6 linked regions of the Sus scrofa genome follow. The protein of the gene in region 4 purifies or fractionates together with the protein of the main gene of each other region. This does not show direct contact. Links are inferred from orthologs where the notes say so. Each region holds a gene or a part of one and is shown on either strand. Other genes may lie near its edges.

The links.
Region 1: the proteins of UTRN (region 4) and MARK2 purify together in Homo sapiens (affinity purification with mass spectrometry; 4 studies listed by BioGRID and IntAct, with this or other methods). This does not show direct contact. The link is inferred for Sus scrofa from reciprocal best matches to the Homo sapiens genes UTRN and MARK2.
Region 2: the proteins of UTRN (region 4) and SNTB2 purify together in Homo sapiens (affinity purification with mass spectrometry; 4 studies listed by BioGRID and IntAct, with this or other methods). This does not show direct contact. The link is inferred for Sus scrofa from reciprocal best matches to the Homo sapiens genes UTRN and SNTB2.
Region 3: the proteins of UTRN (region 4) and DTNA purify together in Homo sapiens (affinity purification with mass spectrometry; 3 studies listed by BioGRID and IntAct, with this or other methods). This does not show direct contact. The link is inferred for Sus scrofa from reciprocal best matches to the Homo sapiens genes UTRN and DTNA.
Region 5: the proteins of UTRN (region 4) and DTNB purify together in Homo sapiens (affinity purification with mass spectrometry; 3 studies listed by BioGRID and IntAct, with this or other methods). This does not show direct contact. The link is inferred for Sus scrofa from reciprocal best matches to the Homo sapiens genes UTRN and DTNB.
Region 6: the proteins of UTRN (region 4) and SNTB1 purify together in Homo sapiens (affinity purification with mass spectrometry; 3 studies listed by BioGRID and IntAct, with this or other methods). This does not show direct contact. The link is inferred for Sus scrofa from reciprocal best matches to the Homo sapiens genes UTRN and SNTB1.

What each region holds. Positions count from the first base shown.
Region 1 is NC_010444.4:8,153,205-8,156,735, forward strand, and holds the end of MARK2 (serine/threonine-protein kinase MARK2), read right to left. Parts: intron 3,500-3,531; coding exon 3,455-3,499; intron 2,843-3,454; coding exon 2,482-2,842; 3' UTR 666-2,481; downstream 1-665. UniProt on the Homo sapiens protein: Serine/threonine-protein kinase. Involved in cell polarity and microtubule dynamics regulation. Phosphorylates CRTC2/TORC2, DCX, HDAC7, KIF13B, MAP2, MAP4 and RAB11FIP2. Phosphorylates the microtubule-associated protein MAPT/TAU.
Region 2 is NC_010448.4:17,680,474-17,684,200, forward strand, and holds part of SNTB2 (beta-2-syntrophin), read right to left. Parts: exon of another isoform or gene 3,375-3,727; intron 2,836-3,374; coding exon 2,651-2,835; intron 1,516-2,650; coding exon 1,423-1,515; 3' UTR 1-1,422. UniProt on the Homo sapiens protein: Adapter protein that binds to and probably organizes the subcellular localization of a variety of membrane proteins. May link various receptors to the actin cytoskeleton and the dystrophin glycoprotein complex.
Region 3 is NC_010448.4:118,672,025-118,675,751, reverse strand, and holds part of DTNA (dystrobrevin alpha), read right to left. Parts: intron 1,436-3,727; coding exon 1,330-1,435; intron 1-1,329. UniProt on the Homo sapiens protein: May be involved in the formation and stability of synapses as well as being involved in the clustering of nicotinic acetylcholine receptors.
Region 4 is NC_010443.5:20,984,639-20,989,063, reverse strand, and holds the start of UTRN (utrophin), read left to right. Parts: upstream 1-1,549; 5' UTR 1,550-2,725; coding exon 2,726-2,819; intron 2,820-4,425.
Region 5 is NC_010445.4:113,466,474-113,470,200, reverse strand, and holds part of DTNB (dystrobrevin beta), read right to left. Parts: intron 3,543-3,727; coding exon 3,383-3,542; exon of another isoform or gene 2,566-3,382; coding exon 2,476-2,565; exon of another isoform or gene 2,200-2,475; coding exon of another isoform or gene 2,066-2,199; exon of another isoform or gene 243-2,065; coding exon 131-242; exon of another isoform or gene 1-130.
Region 6 is NC_010446.5:18,515,591-18,519,317, forward strand, and holds part of SNTB1 (beta-1-syntrophin), read left to right. Parts: intron 1-2,165; coding exon 2,166-2,356; intron 2,357-3,727. UniProt on the Homo sapiens protein: Adapter protein that binds to and probably organizes the subcellular localization of a variety of membrane proteins. May link various receptors to the actin cytoskeleton and the dystrophin glycoprotein complex.

The sequences.
Region 1 (3,531 bases), on a different chromosome or scaffold from region 4:
TGGCAGCCGAGCCTGTGTCCACCCGCTCCCAGCCAGGGTCTGGGGTCTTCTGAGCTGGCCCGAGGCTACTTTCTCTTCCTGGCTGGGTCTGGAACGGCTGCCTCCTCGCCTGCCAGGGCTTGGCCTTTGGGTCCTGCCCTTCGAGTATAGGGGGTAGTGACCATAGCTTGGGGAGCCGGGGAGAGGACAGTTAGGTGTCTTGGCTGTTCCTCCTCTTTCCCTTCTTTTAGCAATAAGTTTGGGGTGAGGTGGGAGGGTGTTGAAGGAGGGAGGTGGGCAGAGAGGCTCTTTGGGGCCTGACGGCAGCGGAGGCTGGAGAAGGGGCTCTTGTGTCTTCAGGGTCAGGTGGGAAGTGCTGAGGAGCTCTGAGGGTGCCCACTGCCCAAAAGCTTAGAGAAAGGGTTGGGAACATATGCAGACATGGGTTTATTTTTCAATGTTTTTAAAAAATAAATAAAACCTTCAAGCTCACTGAATCCTTTCTCTTTTAGTTTAAGTGTCCTGGACGTCGCTTCCTGTCTGTGCCATGAGGATGGGAGTGGGGAGGGCGCCCGCCCAGCACTGGCCTTTCCCCAGGCCCCAGACAGGAATCAAGGCAGGCGGGCTGGGCTGCCCATGGACACTGGGTCCCTGCCCAGCTGGGAGAAGAGACAGGAGGCAGCTCAGATTCCAAACATTCTCTTTATTACGTGTTTGATCCAGAGGAAAAACTAAGTGCAGGAAGGGGGGCTGGGTGGGGAGGGGCCACCTTGCCTGGGAGCCCCCCCCCAGCCACCACCCCCTTTGGGAGCCAAGCCTTGCCCTCCCGGCCCCTCGGAGCACCCGGGCTGTTCCATAGGGCAGGGGAGGGAGAGAGGGAGGGAGGGAGGGAGAGCCCTTGGTAGGAGCCGGAGCCCACAGTCGAGCCCACAGTCTTAGGGCTTGGGGCAGGAGGGCTGAGGTTGGCGGGGCCCCTTCCTGGGACCCAAGGGCTCAACTTGCCGGGGAGCCAGGCCTGGGAGTGGGGGTGATGAGTAGGGGTGGAGTCATCATAAATCAAAAAAAGAAAAAAAAAATAAAATAATAAAATAAAAAATAAAACCCATCACAAAAAAATGTACAACTCAGGTGAGGGTAGAGGCAGCCTCTGTTCAGGACCTCTCCCCCAATTTCTCAAGAACAGAGACAGCAGAGAAATAAATTAAGGGATGCAGCGGCTGCCACCAGCCAAGCGCCCATAACCAGCCACTCCCACGCTGGCTGCGGAGGTTAGCGAGCTGGGAGTCACTTGGCCTATCGGTCCCCCACCCCGCCGCCGAGAGCAGAGGCTCCCCGGCCCTGCTGCCCTATCCAGCCTCCCGCGGAGGCCCCGGGGCAGTGTCTCCTGAGAGGAGGGGTGACAGTGTGAGGAAGAAAAGGCAAGGCCAAGAGATGAGTGGTGAGGGAAGTCACTGCTATGGAACTAGCTGGTGCCCAGATTAATGCCAACGAAGGGGAGCAGTGGGGAGAGGAACGGCGTGGGGGGCTGTGCTTTCAGACAAAGGCTCTCCCAGAACGGAGAATGCCCAGCGTCCCTGTTCCGGAGACTAGCAGCCCAGGCGGCCCCCTGGGGGCCGAGGAGCCCATCTGCCCTGCAGTCCCCTCCCCTCTCCCAGCCCTGGGGTCAGCCCCGCCTTCTACCCAGGAGGGGGTGGGAGAAGATGGCACAGACTTTTTGAGGAGGGGAACAAAAGTCCCCACAGCAGCTTGTGGAAGGAAATGCCCAGCTCTGGGGAAGGAGGGGCAGAGGATACAGTGTGGAGGGAGGCCGGAGCCCCGCGCCCAGCCTGCCAGCCCCAGAGCAGCCGCCAGCCCCACGGCTTCAGGGCTGCGCGGCACCCCCACCCCCAGCCCCCCGCCGCCCAGGCCTCCAGCCCAGGGGCCTGAGGTCAGGGCAAGGCCACCTCTGGTGGTTTACTTGGAGGGGAAGGAGGAGAGGAGAGGGGAGAAGCCCAAAGTGGGCCTGGCGGAGGGCCTAACAGGGAACTCCACCACTCTTGCCTGAGAGTGTTCCAGCCCTGAGCCACCCTCCCGGGAAACCCCGCAGATCCAGTCTCGACTGTCCCAATGGGGCAGGGAGGAAAGGTGGCCGCTGGGATTTTTTTTTTTTTTCTTTTTTCTTTTTGGTAATAAAAAATTTCTTGGTTTAGGCGAAATACTCTGTGCAACCGCAGTACCGAGGGGGAGCCCCGCCCCCCACCCCTCCCTCCCCTTCCTTCGCCTCCTGCGGGAGAGAGGGGGGGAGGGGGACGATCTGGGCAGGGTAACCGTGGTGGGGGCGAGAACCATCTCCCGGCCCCCACAAACATGGAAGAAAAAACTGAGACGGGCGGGGAGGGGAGAAGTGCCAGCAGGGGAGACACACCAATCCATCTCTGCAGTCCGGCCCGGGCGGGCGGAGCGCCGGCCCCAGCAGCTAAGTCCAGCTGGCCGCCTCCTTCGCCCCCCACTCCTGGCAGCCTGTTAAAGCTTAAGCTCGTTGGCTATTTTGGAGGCAATGTTTTTGAAGGCCATGGAGGTGCCCGATATCCGCTTAAATCGAACACCGTTGAGAGAGAGCCGAGGCAGTTTGCACACCTCCATCTCCCACTGCACGAAGTTCTCGTGGCCCGGCGTGCCGTGCATGCACAGCAGCATGTACTTCTCGTGCAGCTCGCTCTGGCAGCTGTTTGCGTCCAGCACCTTGCGGATCTCCCGCATCATCTCGTTGGGCTCCATGGAGCTCGTGGTCTTCATGCTCCACGTGAAGCGAAGTGAGCGGGGCTTGGCCTCCCGAAACTCCTCCTTGTCTTTGTCGTTGCCGCCGCTGCCCACCACGTGAGGTCTGCGGAGAGGGCAGAGGCGGGCGTCAGGCGGGAGCTGGGGCGCCCCACCCATGGGAGAGCCCCCCTGGCACAAGGACCCTGAGACGGAGAGAAGAGCGGGAGGGTGCCAGGAGGCGGCGGTGCTGGAAGAGGGCGCCTCAGACCTGGCCCGGGGAGCGGAGGGAGGGGTGAGGAGGGTGCGCAGTCCTGCAGCCCCCCGGGGGGCGGGGGTGACGAGGTGACAGCTCCAGGCTTTCCTTTGTAGAGGGAGGGGCGGCGAAGAAAGGGGAGCACATGCTCCAAGCCCTGAGCAGTTCGCAGACTGGACAGCAAGAAGTGGCTGATTCGTGGGAAGGGGAGCTTGCCGACAGGGAAGGAGTCTGTACCTCCAAACCCCGGCCCAGGGCTCCTGCTTCCAGGACACACCAGATCTAAGGAGAAGGGCCCGCACCTACTGCAGCAGGGCGGGGGTGGGGGTGGGGTTCTCTGAGGAAAGGGAGACCCCCGAGAGGACGGGGGAGGCAGAAGCACAGGAGGAAGAGCCAGGTGGCAGAAGGACGAGAGGAGCAGGCGGCTCGTGGCAAGCCGGGTGGCCCCGGGCAGGGCCGGCGCTGGCTCCAGCCCTCTCTCACCTGAGCGTCTCCACTCGGTCTTTGCTTTCAGGTTCATTCAGGTTCCTCAAAAAACAGAGCGAGGGAGAGTTTAGTGC
Region 2 (3,727 bases), on a different chromosome or scaffold from region 4:
TATATGGCTAATATATTATTTTAAATGTTTTCAGATATATACCTCCTTCATAATTAGGAAAAAGAAGCTGACTGTGATTCTCCAGTACAACACAATCAGCACTCTTACTGCTGATATGTCCTAATGATGACATCTGGCGATGCTTAGCAAAGCCCAGGGACCTGTTCCTTGGTCTCGTCACCCTGCCCATTGTAGGATGCATCACTGAGCCAGCACTGAATTAGCAGCTGCTGATAGATGCTACTCTGCTGCCACAGAGTGAGAGGGCCAGGGCCAAGACCCCAGAGTGGGCTCACATGGCCCAAAGAGACGTGAACGTGATGTTTGTGCTGAAGAGATGGCTTCACCGACAAAGTGTACGCTTTAAACAAGCTGGCTCTCCAGGATTTATCTTCCTTAAAGACATCTGCCAACTAGAAAAGATACCACACTAAGGAAACCCACCTCAAAGACTACTTCTCAAAACTAGGATAGCTGATCTCCCTGGAATGGCAGTGATATCCAGTTATCCAAAGAGTGACTAATAAAGCTCCACTAACCCTAACTAAAGGCACATTTGGTAAGCAATAAAAAATGGCTTAGGCTAAAATGAGGATTTTCTTTTAAAATAAATCTTATCCCCTGGCTCCTACCAAAGATAAAATCAGAAAATCCTAAAACAAGCAAAATTTTTCTTTCAAAGCAGTGGTTCCCAGCTTGCTTTTCAAGTTGGTCACCACTAGAAAGGGAGTGTGGAAGGCAAAGCAAATCAAATCTCACAAGTTCTAAGTCCTGCAGTTAGCATTTATGAGGGGCAAAGCTTGTGATGTGGTCAGAAGTAACGGCCGGGGGAGATGCAGGGAGAGCCAGGATGGATGAGGAAGCCTTTGGTGACAAATTCAAGGACTTCCTAGGGTGGAAGGAGTAAGTAAGGACAGTAGACTTGATCAAAATGTATAGCCTAACTCGAGTGACAGGCTGTTGCAGACTAGCACCTGGGAAGAGAGAGGTGTCCTAAGCAAGAGATCAAGGCTAAGCCTGAAACAATTCCTTCTGGAAGAGGAAGGAAAAAAACCCTAAACTCTTAGATGTTAGATTATGTCCAAAAAGAAAAAGAATGAGCCACCCTTCTTAACAGGGGAAAAAAAACCTAATTACTTAGAAACAACATTAGGAACTAGACAATAAATCAACAGCTTCATTTTGGAGCTTATTCCAATCCTAGGATTTCTGGCCAAGGTAGCTTGTAAAAGGCAGGCTCTTCTTTAAACATGGTTACAGTTCAGCAGTGATTTGCAGGTCCTTGTCAAGGCACTGTGCCAGAGGAGAGAGGAAAGAGTGTTCTTTTTGTGCTTTTTTTTTTTTTTTTTTTTTTTTTTTTTTGAGGTGGAGATACTTCTTGTGACATTCAAGGCTCTTTATTTACTGATTTTTTTTTGCTGCTCATACAAGCAGTCCCATGCGAGTGACTTTGGCCGACAAGAATGTGTGCAACACAAATACAATCGGCTTTGGACAGGAGTGCAGGTCCATGGTCTGTGGAGAAAGAACAATAATTATCACTATATACAGATACTTTAATAAATAAACATGCAAAATAAACAAATTTGGACATGATGTTCTACTTTTTAAAAAGAACTTGGATAAAGAACGTGCCAGATTTACGGCAACTCTTGGGAATTTAGTGCTGAAAATGGAAGTGTACTCTGAAGTAAGGGTATTCCATGTCATAATTAATTAAACACTAGTGTGAGATTTCACATCCACAACTGGGATACTATTGGTGGTGTGCTAGATTCCACCGTGCCAGATGGGAAGAACTTAAAGGGAGAGGATGTAAAGGAAAGAGCAATATCCTATATGCAAACCATTGATGGTAAGTATGTTTTCCAGGTGGAACCACAGTGAATTCAGTTGAGGTGTGACCATCTATGCATATGATTTTTTTTTTTGGTCTTTTTAGGGCCGCACTTGCGGCATATGGGAGGTTCCCAAGCTAGGGGTCTAATCAGAACTACAGCTGCCGGCCTACACCACAGTCCCAGCAACGCCAGATCTGAGCCACGTCTGCAACCCACACCACAGCTCATGGCAACGCCTGAGCCTTAACCCACTGATTGAGGCCAGGGATTGAACCCGCAACCTCATGGTTCCTAGTCAGATTTGTTTCCGATGTGCCATGACGGGAACTCCTATTTTTGTCTTTTTTTTTTTAAGGCTGCACTCGTGGCATGTGTAAGTTCCCAGGCTAGGGGTCAAATCAGAGCTGCAGCTGCTGGCCTACTCCACAGCCACAGCAATGCACAGATCCAAGTCTCGTCTGCAACCTACACCACAGCTCATGGCAACGCCGGATCTTTTAAACCTCTGAGAGAGGCCAGGGATTAAACCCACATCCTCATGGGTCCAAGTAGGGTTCTTAACCTGGTGAGCCACAGTAGGAACTCCTCAAACAAAACTTCTAAAGAAGGGAATGATTTCCTAATGTGGGGGAAAAAAAGGAAACCCAACCAAACCCAATGCATCTCTGAACACTGAAAAATAATTTTCTGGCTTGAAATGGAGTATCAGTCTATAAGTCCATAATTTTCTATACAAGAGGTAATAAGCAATACAAAAGAAAGAGAATACCTATTAGAATAAACAGGTTTTTTTTCAGAAATATTCTTACCAGCTCTCCCTCAGGGCCACCAAAATCCAGATACAGATTTCTGATGCCATCATCAGCAGACATTTTCAGCCTTTCAAAGGGGTAGCGGTACAGTATGCTGCTGGAACCTCCATTTTCCCTGGAGATAGTGAACCCACTTTCATAGTGGACAGTGAGTCTTACCTCTTGACCATTTAACGTGCAGCCTGTTGAAGACAAGTGAAAGCCATCATTAATAAAGTTCCTACTTCAGCTAGCAAGTGACAAAGGACTCTTCTGACTTCAACAAGGGAAAAAGAATCTTCTTGAGAACATGTGATACCTAACCTATTTGGAACCTCCTGAAATGAGTTTTGCTCACTCAAGTCAACATCTTGATTGAGATGAGGAAGAAATTACCATCCCTTTCCTTGACAAATGATCTGATTCAGTTCAATTCAGTGGGTATCAAGTGAATCCGTGTGCTGACAGCTGACTGTGTGTGGTCCTAGAGAAATAAGAAGCATGGTTCCTGCTCCCAAGACCTCATAAATGAGAGGTGTAAACATGATATCCCTGGGGAGTTCCCGTCATGGCTCAGTGGTTAACGGATCCGACTAGGAACCATGAGGTTTCGGGTTCGATCTCTGCCCTTGCTCAGTGGGCTAAGGATCCAACGTTGCCATGAGCTGTGGTGTAGGTTGCAGATGCAGCTCGGATCCCGGGTTGCTGTGGCTCTGGCGTAGGCCGGCGGCTATGGCTCCGATTTGACCCCTAGCCTGGAAACCTCCATATGCCGTGAGAGCGGCCCAAGAAATGGCAAAAAAAAAACACAAAAAACAAAAAACACATGAAATCCCTAACCACTTAAGGTAGAGGGTGTAGGACGTGACTAAACACCAAACTGAGTAAGGCCAAAGTCAAGGAAAGGTTTCCTGAAGGAGATGGGACTTGAGAGAGGCCTTAAAAAATTGTCAAACTTGATAGGCAGTGAGGAACAGGCAGAAGGTTTCAAGTGGGAAAGAAGGAGAACAACCAAAGAAAAGGCAGAGATGCGTTTTAGGGGCAGTGGCATAGAGTGGCTGGTATTTGAGAAGTCACACAGTCCGTCAGTCCTAT
Region 3 (3,727 bases), on a different chromosome or scaffold from region 4:
TAAAAAAAATCTACGATTGGTAGTGATTATAGAGAAACTAGTAAGTTCATTCTTTAAATTGTCTTCATGAGCAGAACAGGATACATTTTTAACTTTAAGAGAGATAATAAGAAGAGATGCTAACTGTTCTAAATGGGTATTTAAAATTAGTTAACTTTAGGAGTTCCCTTGTGGCAAAGTGGGTTAAGAATGTGGCATTGTCACTGCAGCTGCTTGGGTTGCTACTGTGGTGAAGGTTTGATCCCTGGCCTGGGAACTTTCCTATGCTATGGGCATGGCCAATAAATAAAAATAAGCTAGGGAGTTCCTTTCGTGGCCCAGTGGTTAACTAACCAGACTAGGATCCATGAGAATGTGGGTTCCATCCCTGGCCTCTCTCAGTGGGTTAAGGATGCGGCATTACTGTGAGCTGTAGTGCAGAAGTCACAGATGTGGTTTGGATCTTGTGTTGCTGTGGCTGTGGTGTAGGCTGGCAGCTGCAGCTCCAATTTGACCCCTAGCCTGGGAACTTCTATATGCAACACCTATGGCCCTAAAAAAAAAAAAAAAAAAAAAAAAAAAAAAAAGCTAACTTTAATCCCATTGCATATTAAAGAAGTGTTCAGAAGTTAGGATTCCAGTAAGAGGAGATAAATTATTTTATTTTTAATGCTAGAGAATTCCCAGAGTTAAATTAAACAATAAATAAGAACATCTAAAGATCAGATGGAGGCACTGAATTGTTTTATGTTTAAATTTCTTTAAGTCTTGTTCTGAACTGTATTTCATATTGAAGTTTGGATATGCAAAAACGAATTACTTTTATTATATAAATACTTGCTTTTATTTTAAAAAGCACATTACTCATTTCTTTTATGTAACTACTACTGTTGAAAGCTTACAATTTGTAGCATAAGACTAAAGATTAGCAAAGTGCTATCATACAGTTTTGTTTTGTTTTGTTTTTCCTATCTCCTCTACCTGGTCGAGTGCCAGGAATACCAACAGTGAAGAAAGAGTCAATGCCAGGTATACCAACAGTGGAAGGTCACACCTAAAAAAATACTAGAAAATGTTATATTTCTTATTAAGATTCTTCTTCTGTTACAGCAAATATTTAAGCTATACCTGACTTGTGAGAGACAGACTGTGTGTGAGATTTAATAAGTTTTTAAAACAGTCCTAATTTTGCAATGCATCCATAAGGTCTTACTGATCAAAGAGAGAGGTTAGTTCTATAAAGACTCAGAACTATTCCCCAAAACAATGACCTTGGCTTTATAGCTAAAGACTTGATGGCCTAATTTCACTAATTAAAAAAATTGCCTTGGCCCAATAGTAACTACTCACCGTTTTCTACATTTGCCAGTCGATGCAGAAGGGGCAGCCAGACCAGACACTGTGGGGGAGGATCTGACATGAGCGTGTCCAAGAAACCATTTAAGGTGACTTTTTTCTGCATCAAAAAACCCATAAAAATTGAGAACAGAGAATAATCTTAATATACCTGCTATGTAAATATCATTTGAGATAGAAGAAACGAGACATTCAATTAACCCTCATACATCAAGAAACAGAGCTTGAAACTAGTTCCGAATTTAAAAGATTAATTGCTTTCTGTATTTAAGCATACATAGGACTGAATTATCTCCACTGAGCCCGAGTCAATATTATCACAAGGAGAAAAACCATTATGAGAGGATCATTTCCATACATGAAAATGATGAGGAAAGATGGAGAGTAGACGTTCTCTAAAACATTTTACCCAAATAGTGCATCATATAGCACATTCCACAATTCCCATATCAGTTGCTATTCTAAATTTGTGGAATAGCTTCCCTTTCAGACTTCCCCAACTTCCATAAGGACTATTTTGTGGTTAATGTGAATAGTTCTGCTGTACAAGATTAGGAGGGAATCCTGTTCAGAGGGAACCATCTTCCGTGTCAGAAAAGAATAGTCTAAATTAAAAAAAAATTTCCTTCTCTCCTTTCTTTATATTTCTTTTCTCACAATTCAGTCTGCTTCTGTGTCATTATCCTGGTGCTTTCTGATGTATAAAAGAAATGCAATTTATCTGTTTCTTTCGAAATGACAAAATTAAGAAGTTACAGTAATACTTCTTAAAATGATATTGTAACAGTATGACTAACAAAATCTTACATGCAAAAGCCACTATTTTATTTAAAATTTTGAATTAGAAGATCAAGGTGGATGGCATGGTTTTATATTTTTAGATGAGAAATCAGTATTGAAGTGTATTAAGCCTTTTAAAGGCTTAAACTTTACACTAATTATTCTACTTTGCAAATAATTTTATTAATTTTTTTTATCAGAAGATATTACAATTTTAGCTTTATCTCATAATACTAAATAACTTAAGCTTTTTATTGGGTTGTTATTAACATGATTATTAAGAGATAAATTATGTAAAGTATAAGCAACGAGACAGTATTTTTTTAAAAAGCTACTACATCATGTCTAAAATACTGCTGTCTTTCAAAACAATCACTTGGGATGGCTTTCTATGAAGCAATTAAAACAATTTTGGAATTTCCTCATTCAAACTGCTGTTACAGCCAGTATATGAAGCACAAAAACAAAAGCATCTTAATTTCTTGTATTTCCTCTTTTTGTACTTCACATGATTTTATCCATTTGACCATTCATCACACTAGCTAAAAATCACTCCTGGAAGTCAAAAGTGCTACTGTGATTTTCAACATATATAAAGTTCTCATCATCAAGAATATACAAAAGATTATTTAACATATAATTGCATTATATAATTATATAATACCTATAGGATATTTCAAAAGGAATTTTGAGCAAGAGCACTATCTTTATAATTCTGTTTGAATCTATAGATCCCATTAAAAAAGGAATTATTATTTTAAGTCTTATTAAAAAAGTCTTATTATTCCAGCTGACTTGTAATGAGAAATATTCTGGGGCATTAGTATCTTTCCTGAGGATTCCATGATGCACTACCTAAAATCAGTAAATGTACAAACAATTCCAGGGACAGAGTGGTCAGTTTGGGATTTAATGCAACAGGCCAGATGAGAGATGGTGATGAGGAAAGAAATCTGAGAACCTTCTAGAAAGGGAAATCAGTAGGACTTGGTGTTTGATGAAAAGTTCTGGGTGAAGAAGTTGTATAGAAGGAGGCTTAGGTGAATGATCCATTCTGATGTCACCAACTCAAAAGAGGGCATGCTTTAGTGGGGGCAGAGATCACACACCTATGCCAGGCTGGGGATGGGGGCATGGGAAGGGTCGGAGAGACTACCTGGGTGAGATTTCCCCTGGGGAAGGAGAGTTTGATACTTAGTGGATCAAACCATTCCATCTATTATTGAATGTGTGGATACATTATAAATGAACCCATGACCCACAGAGATGCCTGAGGCAGTTTTGACCTCTTATATCACCAAGTAAATGGGTAGATGAGGTTTATTAGCTGGACAGTAAATGCAGCTTTTCAGTGGATGCTATGCACTGATTCTAATTTAAGGTGTCCTTTTAGAGGACATAGTTTGGATATTTAAAAAATTGTAAACAAACCTTCAATTTATGGGTTTATAAATCTCCACTTTGCTGTGTTAGAGAATAGTTCTAGATATGTAGATTTTCCACATGACTGGAGAGGTAGAAACATGGATATAAACTGGCTATAAACTGGACACAAACTGGAGAGCCACCCAAACTAAGTGGCTTCCCTCGCTGACTTGTATCAACCCAAGTT
Region 4 (4,425 bases):
TCCCTGGCCCCTCTCAGTGGGTTAAGATTCCGGCATTGCAGTGACCTATGGTGTAGGTTGCAGACGGGCTCGGATCCTGCATTGCTGTGGCTGTAGCAGCTGTAGCTCCAATTCGACCCCTAGCCTGGGAACCTCCATATGCTGCGAGTGCAGCCCTAAAAAGGCAAAAAAAAAATCTCGTCCCTGTAAATAATTATGTTTATTCACTAATAAAAGGCTGCTTTAATTGAGACTTTCTATTTAGGAAGAAGACACATATAGCAAGATAGGTGGAAATAACTGATATAAAGATTAAAAGGTCATGCTCATTGAGAATTTAATTTTCTTATAACTTTTCTTAAGCAGCCCTTTGGAAGAGGAAGAAGAGACAGCTGCTTTAGCAGCCTCTCGGTGGAGATGAGGACTAGCAGTATTTAGCTGGCATACTACTTTATACCAGTTTTAAATGTTGAAAGTCTTTCATACATATGGGAACGTTGCTGCTGGTAAAGCTAAACACCTTTCAGATCTTGCTTCAGCACTATAGCTGGTATCTGTTCTGATTAAGTGGTACCCATGTCTTACTGGTTGTTGTGTGTTTTGAGCATTTAGCCGTGCCTATAAAAATGGAGACATTTTTGGGATGCTGATACAAATTGGACTTGGATAACCATCAGGGAAATGATACCAGACCATGATGAGTTGTTGCTTCACCCTCACTAGGGTGGCTATAGTCAAAAAAACAGATCACAGTCCATGTTGTGAGTCTGTAGAGAACTAGAACCTTTATACATTGTTAGTGGGAATGTACGATGGTGCAACACTGTGGAAAACTGTCTGGCAGTTCTTCCAGAAATTGGCCGTAGAGTTACTATACGACCTAGCAGTGCTACTCCTGGGTGTATATACTCAAGAAAAATGAAGACATATGTCAACATAAAAACTTGTACACGAAAGCTCAGAGCGACATTATTCATATTAGCTGAAAGGTAGAAGCAACCCAAGTTCCGTCAACTGCTAAGAGAATAAATAAAATGTAGGGTATTCAGATAATGGAAGATTATTCAGCCATAAAAAGAAATGAAGTACTGACGCGTATGACAACGTGGATGAACTTTGAAAACATTATGCTAAGTGAAGGAAGTCAGTTGTAAAAGACCATGGATTGAATGATTTTATTTCTGCAGAATGCTCAGGAGAGGCAGATCTCTAGACTGCTTAGATTTCCATCGTTGACTAGTGCATTTTGGGGTGATGAAAATGTTCCAAAATTGATTGTGGTGATGGATATACCACTCTACAAATACACCAATAACCACTGTGTTATACACTTTATTTTTTATTTTATTTTTTGTCTTTTTGCCTTTTCTAGGGCTGCTCCTCCGGCATATGGAGGTTTCCAGGCTAGGGGTCGAAACCAAGCTGTAGCTGCCGGCCTACACCACAGCCACAGTAATTTGGGATCTGAGCCGGGTCTGCAACCTACACCACAACTCACGGCAACGCCAGATGCTTAACCCACTGAGCGAGGCCAGGGATCGAACCCGAAACCTCATGGTTCCCAGTTGGATTTGTTAACCACTGAGCCATGAGGGGAACTCCAACACTTTAAATGTGTTAATTGCATATTGAGTATATCTCAATAAAGCTGTTACCAAAAAACCAAACAAAAAAATCAGGCTTTGACTTTGTGACATAATGTGTATCATCGTGCTTTTCACCTCACTGTCCTTACAACATCCCAGGAGACAGGCGAGGTCACTATTCCCATTTTACAGGTTTGGAGATTGAGGCTTAGAGAGAGTATTTTGCCTGTCAGATGGCTGCTAGTCTAGAGAAATACAGAGATAAGGAGGAGACTAGGGTGAGACAAGAAATGACTAGTTCTCTTTTCTGTATCTCAGTCAGTAGCAGGAAGAGAGATGCCTTCTGATTTAAGTCTGTGTGTATCCTAACAAGGGTACATATTTTATGAAAATCTTGGCTTGTAAGTGGAAAGTTTCAATGTGAGAACAGGGGAGAAAAAGCTTTAGAACAGGAATAAGAAAGCAGATGGGAGGTAATATGGGTAATGATTTTCCTTGCTGGTTGTATGTGTGTGGTTGGCATCTACATGAGAGATAGCAAAAGAGCAAGGCAAATACACAAGAGAGAATAGGCTGGAAAGTATGAGTCAAAACTGTCACCTCTCATCACCTTATTCTATGTGGTTGCGTTTATTTTTTCCATACTGGCAATTTCTAAGGAATTAAGAAATCCTTTTGAGTTTCATTTTCCCAAGACTTATATGCATATTAAGGTGAAATAACAGATCCAGTTTATTCTTTGAAGTAGAGTTAATATGTAACTAGACTCTTGGCCCAGTCCTATACCTACGGCAAGCGCCTCTATTTATACACCTAGTGGTGAGGAGGTGGGTGGAGGCGTCCCTTACCAGCTGACGCTGTCAAAACAGGAAGCAAAGTTATAAATCTCTTTGTAGTAGATCAGAAACATTCAAAGGCCCTTCGCTGTGACAATTAAAACAGCAGCCGCCAAAAATGACCCTAAGGAGTTTTCACTAACTGCTAAGTGTAACTTCCTGTCTGGTATTTAGAAGAGATTCAGTTAGGTTTAGTCAGATCCTCTCATGGGAAAAATAAAAGCCACCCCAAAACAGGACATCCCAGTGTGCAGTTCGAAAGCTGCTTTTGTTAAAATCCACTTCCTCTGCCTCTTTTCCTCCTCCTTTAAGCCAATATAGGTAATGAGCGGCCCGGCAGTCACCACCTTCCGTGGGAAGAAATGCAGATTTGATTTGCCAGGGCCTGGTGCTCGCCAGGCAGGCAAGCCTTTACCAGGTAAGTTTGTCACCTTGCCCGGCCCCCGGCCCTCCTGTCCATGAGGTTTTGCACAGAGGACGTCAGCAAAGACAGGGTTCTCTCGGTCACCTCCTGAACCCTGCGTCTGGGTAACAGAGCTGCAGAAGGCAGGAGCTGGCCGGGGATGGGAGCAGCCCGTCCTGTCCTTCCTGACGCCATTGTAAACCCAGAAAAGTGGAGACCCGGGCTGTCAGCTTCATCCTTCTCTCGAGAATGTGATCATTTTCCAGTTCTTGGCTTCTTAGGAAAAAGCAGTCAGGGAACCATCTATCTGTTGTGACACATATGCTTCATGTGCTTTCAGACTAGCTTATGATGTGTTGACTGTTTACTGTCCTAGAAAGTTTCCTTTGTGCTGTTGTGTGGTGGTGTGCTCATCCCATATTGGACTTGATTTTACTTTTAAAAATAGGTAGTTCGGAGCTCTTAATGGGGGAATTTGTACTGGGGCGGGGGGCGGTAAATGGAGGGGAATTTGTTTGAACAGAGCCTTGCTCAGAGGAAACGCAGATGCAAAACTTCACATTGGCTGTGGTTACGTACTTTTCTGTCACTGGAGTTTATTTCCAGGGTGACGTAGTTTTTCTGATCGGGTCAGACGTCCATATCTGGTTTAATCTATCTTTTTATGTACTGGTCATATAAGCTTTCAGAGGAAGAAAAAAATCTCAAGTGATGAGTATTATTTGATCTCATATGTCATGCTTGAATATTGTTACTAAGGGAAAACTTTTAGGCTGGTTAGAATTTTTTTTTTTAATTGTTTTCTTTCCTTTGGAATTACATCTTGCCCTGTGGATGTTTTCCTTTCTAACGCCGTATGAATGAGGTGGTAGATACTGGTAGGCATCCTCACTCTGGACCACATTTAAAGTGAGAGGAGGAGTTCCCGTTGTGGCTCAGTGCTAACGGGCCCGACTAGTATCCATGAGGATGTGGGCTTGATCCCTGGCCTCGCTTAGTGGGTTAAGGATCCTGCCTTGCTGTGAGCTGTGGGTGTAGGTTGCAGACACGGCTTGGATCCCGAGTTGCTATGGCTGTGGTGTAGGGAGGCGGCTACAGCTCCCATTCAACCCCTAGACTGGGAACTTCCATATAATGCAGGTGCAGCCCTAAAAAAAAAAAAAAAAAAAAAAAAAAATAATCAATCAATCAATAAATAAAGTGAAAGGATTGGAACAGCCCGTATTTTCTTAGCAGCTTTAGTATACTAGGAGATCAGTGTGCTATAATTCTTTTCTTTGGCTATTACTTTTCTCTCTTAGTAAAAGAGCCATATGGTCTCAGCAGAAAATTAAAATACCTGTCAGGGACCTGAATTAAAACCCCATGTCCTGGAGCAGGCTCGCAGCCTTGTGTCCATTCAGCGATATCTCTTGACTCTCACTTAATCCTCTTCCTTCCACAGCATGAATAGTCTTACTTTATCGCCTGCTACTCTGTATCTTACTGTCTTGTTACAGAGGGTCTCAGGTAACTACAGTGGTTGAAATCAGAGAATTAGAAGAAAAAACAAACAAACCTTTAAATAATAAGCCGACTGTTGAAGGAGAAGACTGAAGCTTTAAATATAAATTCTGGGGGA
Region 5 (3,727 bases), on a different chromosome or scaffold from region 4:
TGAAACCCACGTCACATGAAGACGGGCCAAAGGGACCAAACAGCTGCCTGAGCAGGAGGCCTGCGGGGGAGCCACGTGACATCCATCAGCTACCTGAAGGGCCAACCTGAAGAGGACGGGCCGAACTCACTCTGGGGATCTGGGGGGTGGAGTGAGGGTCACTTCGTCATGGCAAGTCAGAGTTCTGTCTCCAGGATTAGAAAGAACTTCCCAGGGATGGGAGCTGGTCATGAATGAGCTCACTGGAAATATTCAAACAGAGGACTTTTATACTGGGCAGCAAGCTGGATGAAATGACTTCGGAGGTCCTTTGCACATCTAAGAGCCCATTATTTGTGACAAAAATTCAAAAAAGATGAGGAGGGTGGGTAGAAACAGCATGTCCATGCTGTAGAGAATGCATGCACAGGCAGTGTGGGTGTCTCATCCCACCTCACAGCAGCCTCGACAGTGACAGGGACACTGGGCTGGTGTCAGGCAAGGCTCTTGCCCTCGCTCAGAACCTGGCCGCCTGGCACCTGAATGAAAGGAGTTCACATCTGTCTGACAGGGACACTGGCTGCGGCCCTAGTCCACGGCCGCCTATGGACTCTGGGGCTCGGGAAGCGGGGCATCCGAGAGGGGCCCTCGCGGGACGGCAGACCTGACACCTCATCCTGTGCTTCAGCGTCACGTTCAGACCTCAGCTCCAGGACCAGCTCTGCCCCTTCAAGCTGCACACCCTTAGGCCAAGCACCACCTTTCCACAGCAAGGGGAGGGGACAGCAGGATGCGTAAAACGGTCCTTTCTACCGGAGAGATGGCTGGGCACCCTCACACTCACTTTCTCCGAAGCTGTTTGGGCTCTACGTACTTCGCATTTAAGGATGTCTAGTTACTTCGCGAACCAGTGTGACAAGCTCATGAACCACTTATTTTGCACAAACCCTAATAGGTGGCCATGAGGCACGTGTGCTTCATTTCCGAGGCCTGAAATTCCCTAAGAAATTCCCTCCAAAAGTGGGATTTCTGGCGTCTGTGGGGAGCTATTTAAGGGAAGGGACTTTCTAATCACCTATGAGGTCATCTCAAAGGCGGTCACCTCTCGTGTGTGCCTCTGTGTGTGTGTGTGTGTGTGTGTGTGTGTGTGTGTGTGTGTGTGGAGGGGCAGTGCTTCTAAAGGGAACTGAGAAATGGTACTGGAGGGGAGATAGCATTATCATAACACTCCTTGCGGTCACCGCTCCTGTTTCTGTGTGTGTGTGTGTGTGTGTGTGTGTGTGTGTGTGTAGGGGCAGTGCTTCTAAAGGGAACTGAGAAATGGTACTGGAGCGGAGACAGTGTTATCATAACACTCCCTGCACAGGGGAACTGGCACCTTAACTGCCCTGGAAAACCAACCTAGGCCACACACTTACTCTCCTCCAAACCAAAACAGCAGATTTAAGAGTGAAGCTGTGGGTCAGACCTTGGCCTGGGCCCATGACAATACTAAAGGCACGTGATTCTCTTACAAAGGTCTGAGGAAACACCCAAAGCTGGCCTTCCTTAAGCGCATGGACGGATGATTACAACGTATGTGTCTGAATAAGGATATGTGTCTGCAAGGCCCACGGAAAAAACCCTGCTCTATGTCTTTATTTAATAATCTTGGTGAGCCAGTTCAAGGTATTTAAAAGCTCCGCATTAGGTGAAAAGCAACAAAAGCGGGCCATCGGTATGAGCGACCCACAGCACTTAGGAAGGGAGCCTGTTTATTTAAAATATGACACGGAAATCAGACCGCTGTAAAAAACATTAGTAAAATATCTGGCAGCTATGAAATTGATGGAATCATGGGGATTCTTAAAGATACGATGATATGGGAATGGCCTTCTCTTCTAGCCTTTTCTCTCCTTCCTGGGTTTTATGGATGGGGAAATTTGCCACAAGGTAAGGGTCTCTGGAAAATCACCGAAACAGCTCAGTGATAGAGAGAGAGTCATAGATAAGACTGAACACCAGGAATGAAGGAAGCAAGGGACTCAGGTCATGAACTTGGAGTGAAATCAGAGCCTCGCCATGGACAAAAGGAGAGAATAGGGTTTCAAAACCAAATCAAATAGGAGAGAGCAGAAAGGCAGCCGGGAGAAAGTCCAGAAGCTTTTGTGGCTGATTCGGTTCCAGTCATCCAGGAGAGCGCCCGAGGGAGCCAGCCGAGCAGGCCTAAGGAAAGAGCAGCTGTGGAGGAAGCACAGACGGAAGACAGGTTAAGCGAGGCCGGGCCTAACTGCGCCCAGACGGCGCTGCTTTGGAGGCTGAGATGTGTTTGCTCCGCAAGGCGCGCTCTTAGGAGAGACCCACGTGTGTGATCAGCTCTGGGTGACCCCGGGTGGGAGCCAGGTTCTCGGGGAGAAGACCTCCAGCGCTCCTGGAAGGCAAGAGGACCGTGGGCCGGGGCAGTGAGGAGGGCACGGAGGGGGCGGCGGGAGGCCGGGCGGGAGCTCTGGGCGTCACCTGAGTGGAGCTCCTTCACCAGGGATGACATGGTGTTGGTGATGGAGTCGGCAGCCACCAGCAGGTCATTGCGGAGGTTTCTCCTCGTACCTGGGGGGAGTCAGAGCAGATGGCAGTGCCAGGTGGTGGGTGGGGGAGCGAGCTGAGGGCCGGGCCTTGGGACACGGAATGCGTAAGGGGAGGTGGGCGGAGCAGCTCAGCGGGCCCCCGGGCACGGCAGGTGCACAGGCACCCAGGCCCATGGCCCTCCTCGCTCTCCTCCGCCGAAGAGCAGGGCCCTGCCAGCTCCGCGCATCTCAGCCACAGTCAAAAGAGGTGGATTCCAGAACAAACCCTGGGGCAGGACTTCCTCCCCAGAACCACCTCCCTGCTCTCGTCTCCACCCCAACAAGGCCTCCTGAGCGGCCTCGTCTTCCCCCAGCTACAGACACGGCTGGCTGTTGGCTCCGCGGACCAGAAGCCTTGAGCAAGGGCCTGTCTGCAGTTCCACTCTTCCACCTCCTGCTTGCTCGAAACCTTCCAGGCCGAGCACGTGACTTTGGGAATTCCTCCATCCAGTTCCTCCAGGCGAGGCAAAAAAGACAAGGCATTTCCCACAACTTGGCAAAAAGAGCACAGAAGCCCAGGCAGCCTGTACTTCACACACTCTCTCTCTCTCTCTCTCTCTCTCTCTCACACACACACACACACACACACACACACACACACACACAGCCTGCAGCCCTCCCGACGGGCGCCGCCCATGCGATGAGAAAGGGCCAGCGCCTGACTTATTTTTTACCATAGTGAAAATGCAGTCACTGAGAGCTAAGCACACAAAAGGAAAGAGACGGGAAGCCCTCAGTAGGAATCCTGTCCATGATTCCAACCCCTCCAGCTCTCCAGCACACTCTGCCCCCGAGCTCACCTTGGGCGAAGGCCTCCTGCATGTCCCCGCCGACGCCGCTCAGGGGGTCCTGCGGGCAGTGGGTGGGGGTGGAGCCAGCGGAGGCGGAGCGCACAGGCATCGGCAGCGGGCGGCCACCTCCATGCGTGGGCGATGTGTGCGGCGATGCCGTGGCCTGAGCCTGGGAGAATCAGAGATAAAACGTGTCATCTCAGGCACTTTACCTCCTTGAGGAAGGGGGAGCTCAGTCCTTTTTCTCAGGCAACCTGAGCCAGCCCTGGCCTTCAGTTCAGCGGTGAAAGCGCAGAACCATCACCAATTGGAAGGAAGGGTCAGGCTGCCTCCAGGACCGGAGGGAGGAAGAAA
Region 6 (3,727 bases), on a different chromosome or scaffold from region 4:
AATAATCCTGGAACTAATGAGTACTCCCCAATATTTTCCAACACTGTTGAAAACATCTTTTGGAGTGCCCCTGAAGCTCTTCTCTTTGATGCCTATTCTGTATGTCAAGAAAAACGAGTTTTGAACCTGAGAGTTAGAAAAGGCTCAAGTCACCTGAAAACTAAATTTAATGAAGTCCTGTGCAAAACAGCAGAGAAATCCAGACTCCTTGCAACAACTTCAGGAGTGTTCTAGAAAAGAATGAAGATGACCAAAGGGGTTTGGCTTAGTTTACATTCCACAAATTTCATAAAATCCTTTTCTCAACAAGCTGAACTCTACTTATCAGGAAAACAATGAGGCCGTTGATAGAGCAGCCAGAGGAGAATAACAAAGAGTTTGTGTGGACTGAGCTAGCTGGGTGGTGGGAGTGAAGAAATTATGGAAATGACCAAAGGTGCAACCCAGTTTCAAACGGAAAGATGCCCGCAGAGAGTTGGGCAAACAAGCTTATGTTTTAATCAGCGCTTCAATTAACTTGATAATGTCTTCAATTTTTCCTGTGTAGATTAAGAATATCTTCAGATAACCAATTCCATTATATAAAGGCCACAACAAATACCACTTGAGGTCAACTAGAAGGAAAAGTCATCACAATCATTTAATTCAGACCGCCTGATGGCCTGGCTCTAAAGTTCAAACACAGAGGAAGGGAGTAAAGAAAACATGTTTAGAGCCCATGTGCACACATACTCTGCAGATGTTACAAATGAAAAGTGTCAAAATCGAGGATTCATGGTGGGAAGCCATTAACTACATTAGTGCCGAGGCTATGTTACCTTTTGGTTGTCCTTGGACTGGGTGGAGGAGATTCAGGGCTCTTCTGAGAGGCTTATTTAAGAGTTGCCAATGGGGCTGTGCCCAGAAGGGCTCATAGACCTATTAGGGAATGCACCTCTGCAAAATATCAAACCTTAGTTTACAAGTTAAAAGATGACTGCAGAAGTCGCAGGAAGGGGTATCCAGTTACCCACTTCATTCTGTGAGCAGAGAGACACCCTATTTCTTCCCCCAGACGGAAGGGCTCTCCCACCCTAGTTATTACTGAGAGCCTCTCTGCCAAGGTCCTTCTTCACCTTCCTCCTTAGCCTGAGCACCAGAGTATGAGAAGGATGCAGGAGACAGAGTGGAGGAAAGAACTTGACTCTTGAAATCTAAACCACTGGGTTATGACATGTTCACCTCTCTGAGCTTTGTTTTTTGTTTTTTTCTTTATAGGCCACAGATGCAGCATACAGAAGTTGCCAGGCTAGGGTCAAATCAGAGCTACACCTGCTGGTCTACACCACAGCCACAGCAACTTGGGGTCAGAGCCATGTCTGTGACCTAAACCACAGCTCACAGCAACACGGGATCCTTAACCCACTGAGCGAGGCCAGGGACCGAACCCCCATCTTCATGAATACTAGTCTGGTTTGTTAACTGCTGGGCCACGATAGGAACTCCTTTTTTTTTTTTTTTTTTTAACCTATTATATTAATCTAAGGTCCTGCTTCCAAAGAGTCGTAAAGTGAAATTCAGTGTGGTGTATAAAGCTGAGCTGAGCTTTAAAGAGTAGTCAACTACCTTCACTCCTCTGGAGCCCCATAGCCAGCAAGGAAAATGTCCTCGTTTCCCTGAAGAGTTTCCAGCGGCATATGAAGACCAGAGGCAGTTTACTAGCCAGGGGTTGTTAAATGCGGTGTTTTCTGAGGCAAAAAAATCCAACCTGATGCTTAATCACCTTTTCCAGAACTCTTTTGATTAAAGGGTTTTTTTTTGTTTGTTTTTTTTATGGCCACACCCGTGGCATATGGAAGTTCCCAGGTTAGGGGTCCAGTTGGAGCTGCAGCTGCTGGTCTATGCCACAGCCACAGCAACGCCAGATCCAAGCTGCATCTGCGACCTATACCACAGCTCACGGCAATGCTGGATCCCCGACCCACTGAGAGAAGAACCCGCATCCTCATGGATACTAGTCAGATTTGTTTCCACTGAGCCACAACAGGAACTCCTGATTATTAATTTTTAACTTGAGAAAGAAGTTTGTGACTGGGCCCTGAGAGTGAGGAGACTTGAAGGTCAAGTGCCTGGGGAAATGACAGGCTTCCATTGTTCACATTTTGTCCCTTCTCTGTCTCTATCAGCTTGTACCTACAAAAACCAGGAGTGCCGTTTGACCATCCATTATGAGAATGGATTTTCTGTTACCACTGAACCACAGGAGGGTGCCTTTCCCAAGACAATCATACAGGCTCCTTATGAAAAGCTGAAAATGTCTTCAGATGATGGAATCAGGATGCTGTATTTAGATTTTGGAGGCAAAGATGGAGAGCTCGTAAGTGTACTTTTCCTTAGTTTGATTTCATGTATTTCATCATGCACCACACGTTGCTTGCAAACATAATGCTTATATTTATTTAGCATTTGACTGTTAACAAAGTACTCAGACAGGTTCATGTCATATTCAATCCTTGAAAAACAGTGATCAGATCTAATTTTTTCAGATCTGTACCTTGGTCTCATTTTTCATCAGAATACTACAGAAATATGTGAATCAAAGATAAGGATCCTTTACAAAGCCTTAAGTTCTTCTCAAAGAGAGTCCCACCAGCCTCAAAAGGTACCTTTAACTGTTTAAAGGTCTCAAGCATCTACTTTAACCTGGGCATTGTGCTAGGTGTCAGACATGCAGGGGTATAAAGTGCAGGGTCTCAAAGCCCTGGCCAGCTGGGAGTTCTCAGAGGATCAGAGACCTTGAAGAGGGCGGGGTGGAGGTGGAGTGGGGTTGGGGCTGGACCAGGAGCAGAGCAAAAGGGGCAGTGAGGAAACCAAGCAAAAATGGTCCCTCCTAGGGGAATGGAGAGAGGGCCAGACAGGGGCCCAGGAGTTTTGAGAGCATGTCAAAATGTGTCCAACAAAATCAGCCAGTTGCTCAGTTAAGGTAACATTTATACTTCTCATAGCAATGCAAATTGCCCATGTATTTATAATCATGATTTCCTGTGATCGTGACTGCCAACGCTAATGAAGGAGTTCCCTTGTGGCACAGCAGGTTGGGGATCCAGTGCTGTCACTGTGGCCTGGGTAACTGCTCTGGCAAGGGTTCGATCCCTGGTCGGGGAACTTCGGTGTGCCATGGGCACAGCCGAGAAAACAAAACTATGTTATTTCAGTTCCACTGAAAAGTGAAGCTGCACATTCTATTTCCTGGCAAGTGTCATTCTCAGGAAGACACAGCATCTCATATAAGCCGTGGAATGTTGAACTTCAAAGAGGACTTGATTCGGAACAACTAGTCTCTGTTTAGGTCCTTCCTAGTCACTGGCTTAGTCAACAAATAATTATTGGCTCACATTTGCTAACAGAGATGGGGGCTATATGAAATACAGAGATCAATCGCAATTTTAAAGATCTAGTCATTTCACCTCAGCTACTAGCCTTGCACAAGACCTCCTCCTCTCAGTCCCCGCTCTCTGAAGGAAGGGGTCAGGGCCACGCTGAAAAGAGCAAAGGGGCCTTTAATCTCAAAGTTTCAGCACCCCCGTTTAAGATCTTGCAACACCACTAGCCCCAGTGTGGTACCACATTTCTTCCTGCGGGTATCGCAGGCTGTCACGATGAAGTCGGTGCCCGGCAGCTGACAGGTGATTTGAACTCACCTTCTGAGAACAATTTCCAGCCAGTCGTTTTTCTTACCTTTAAAAGG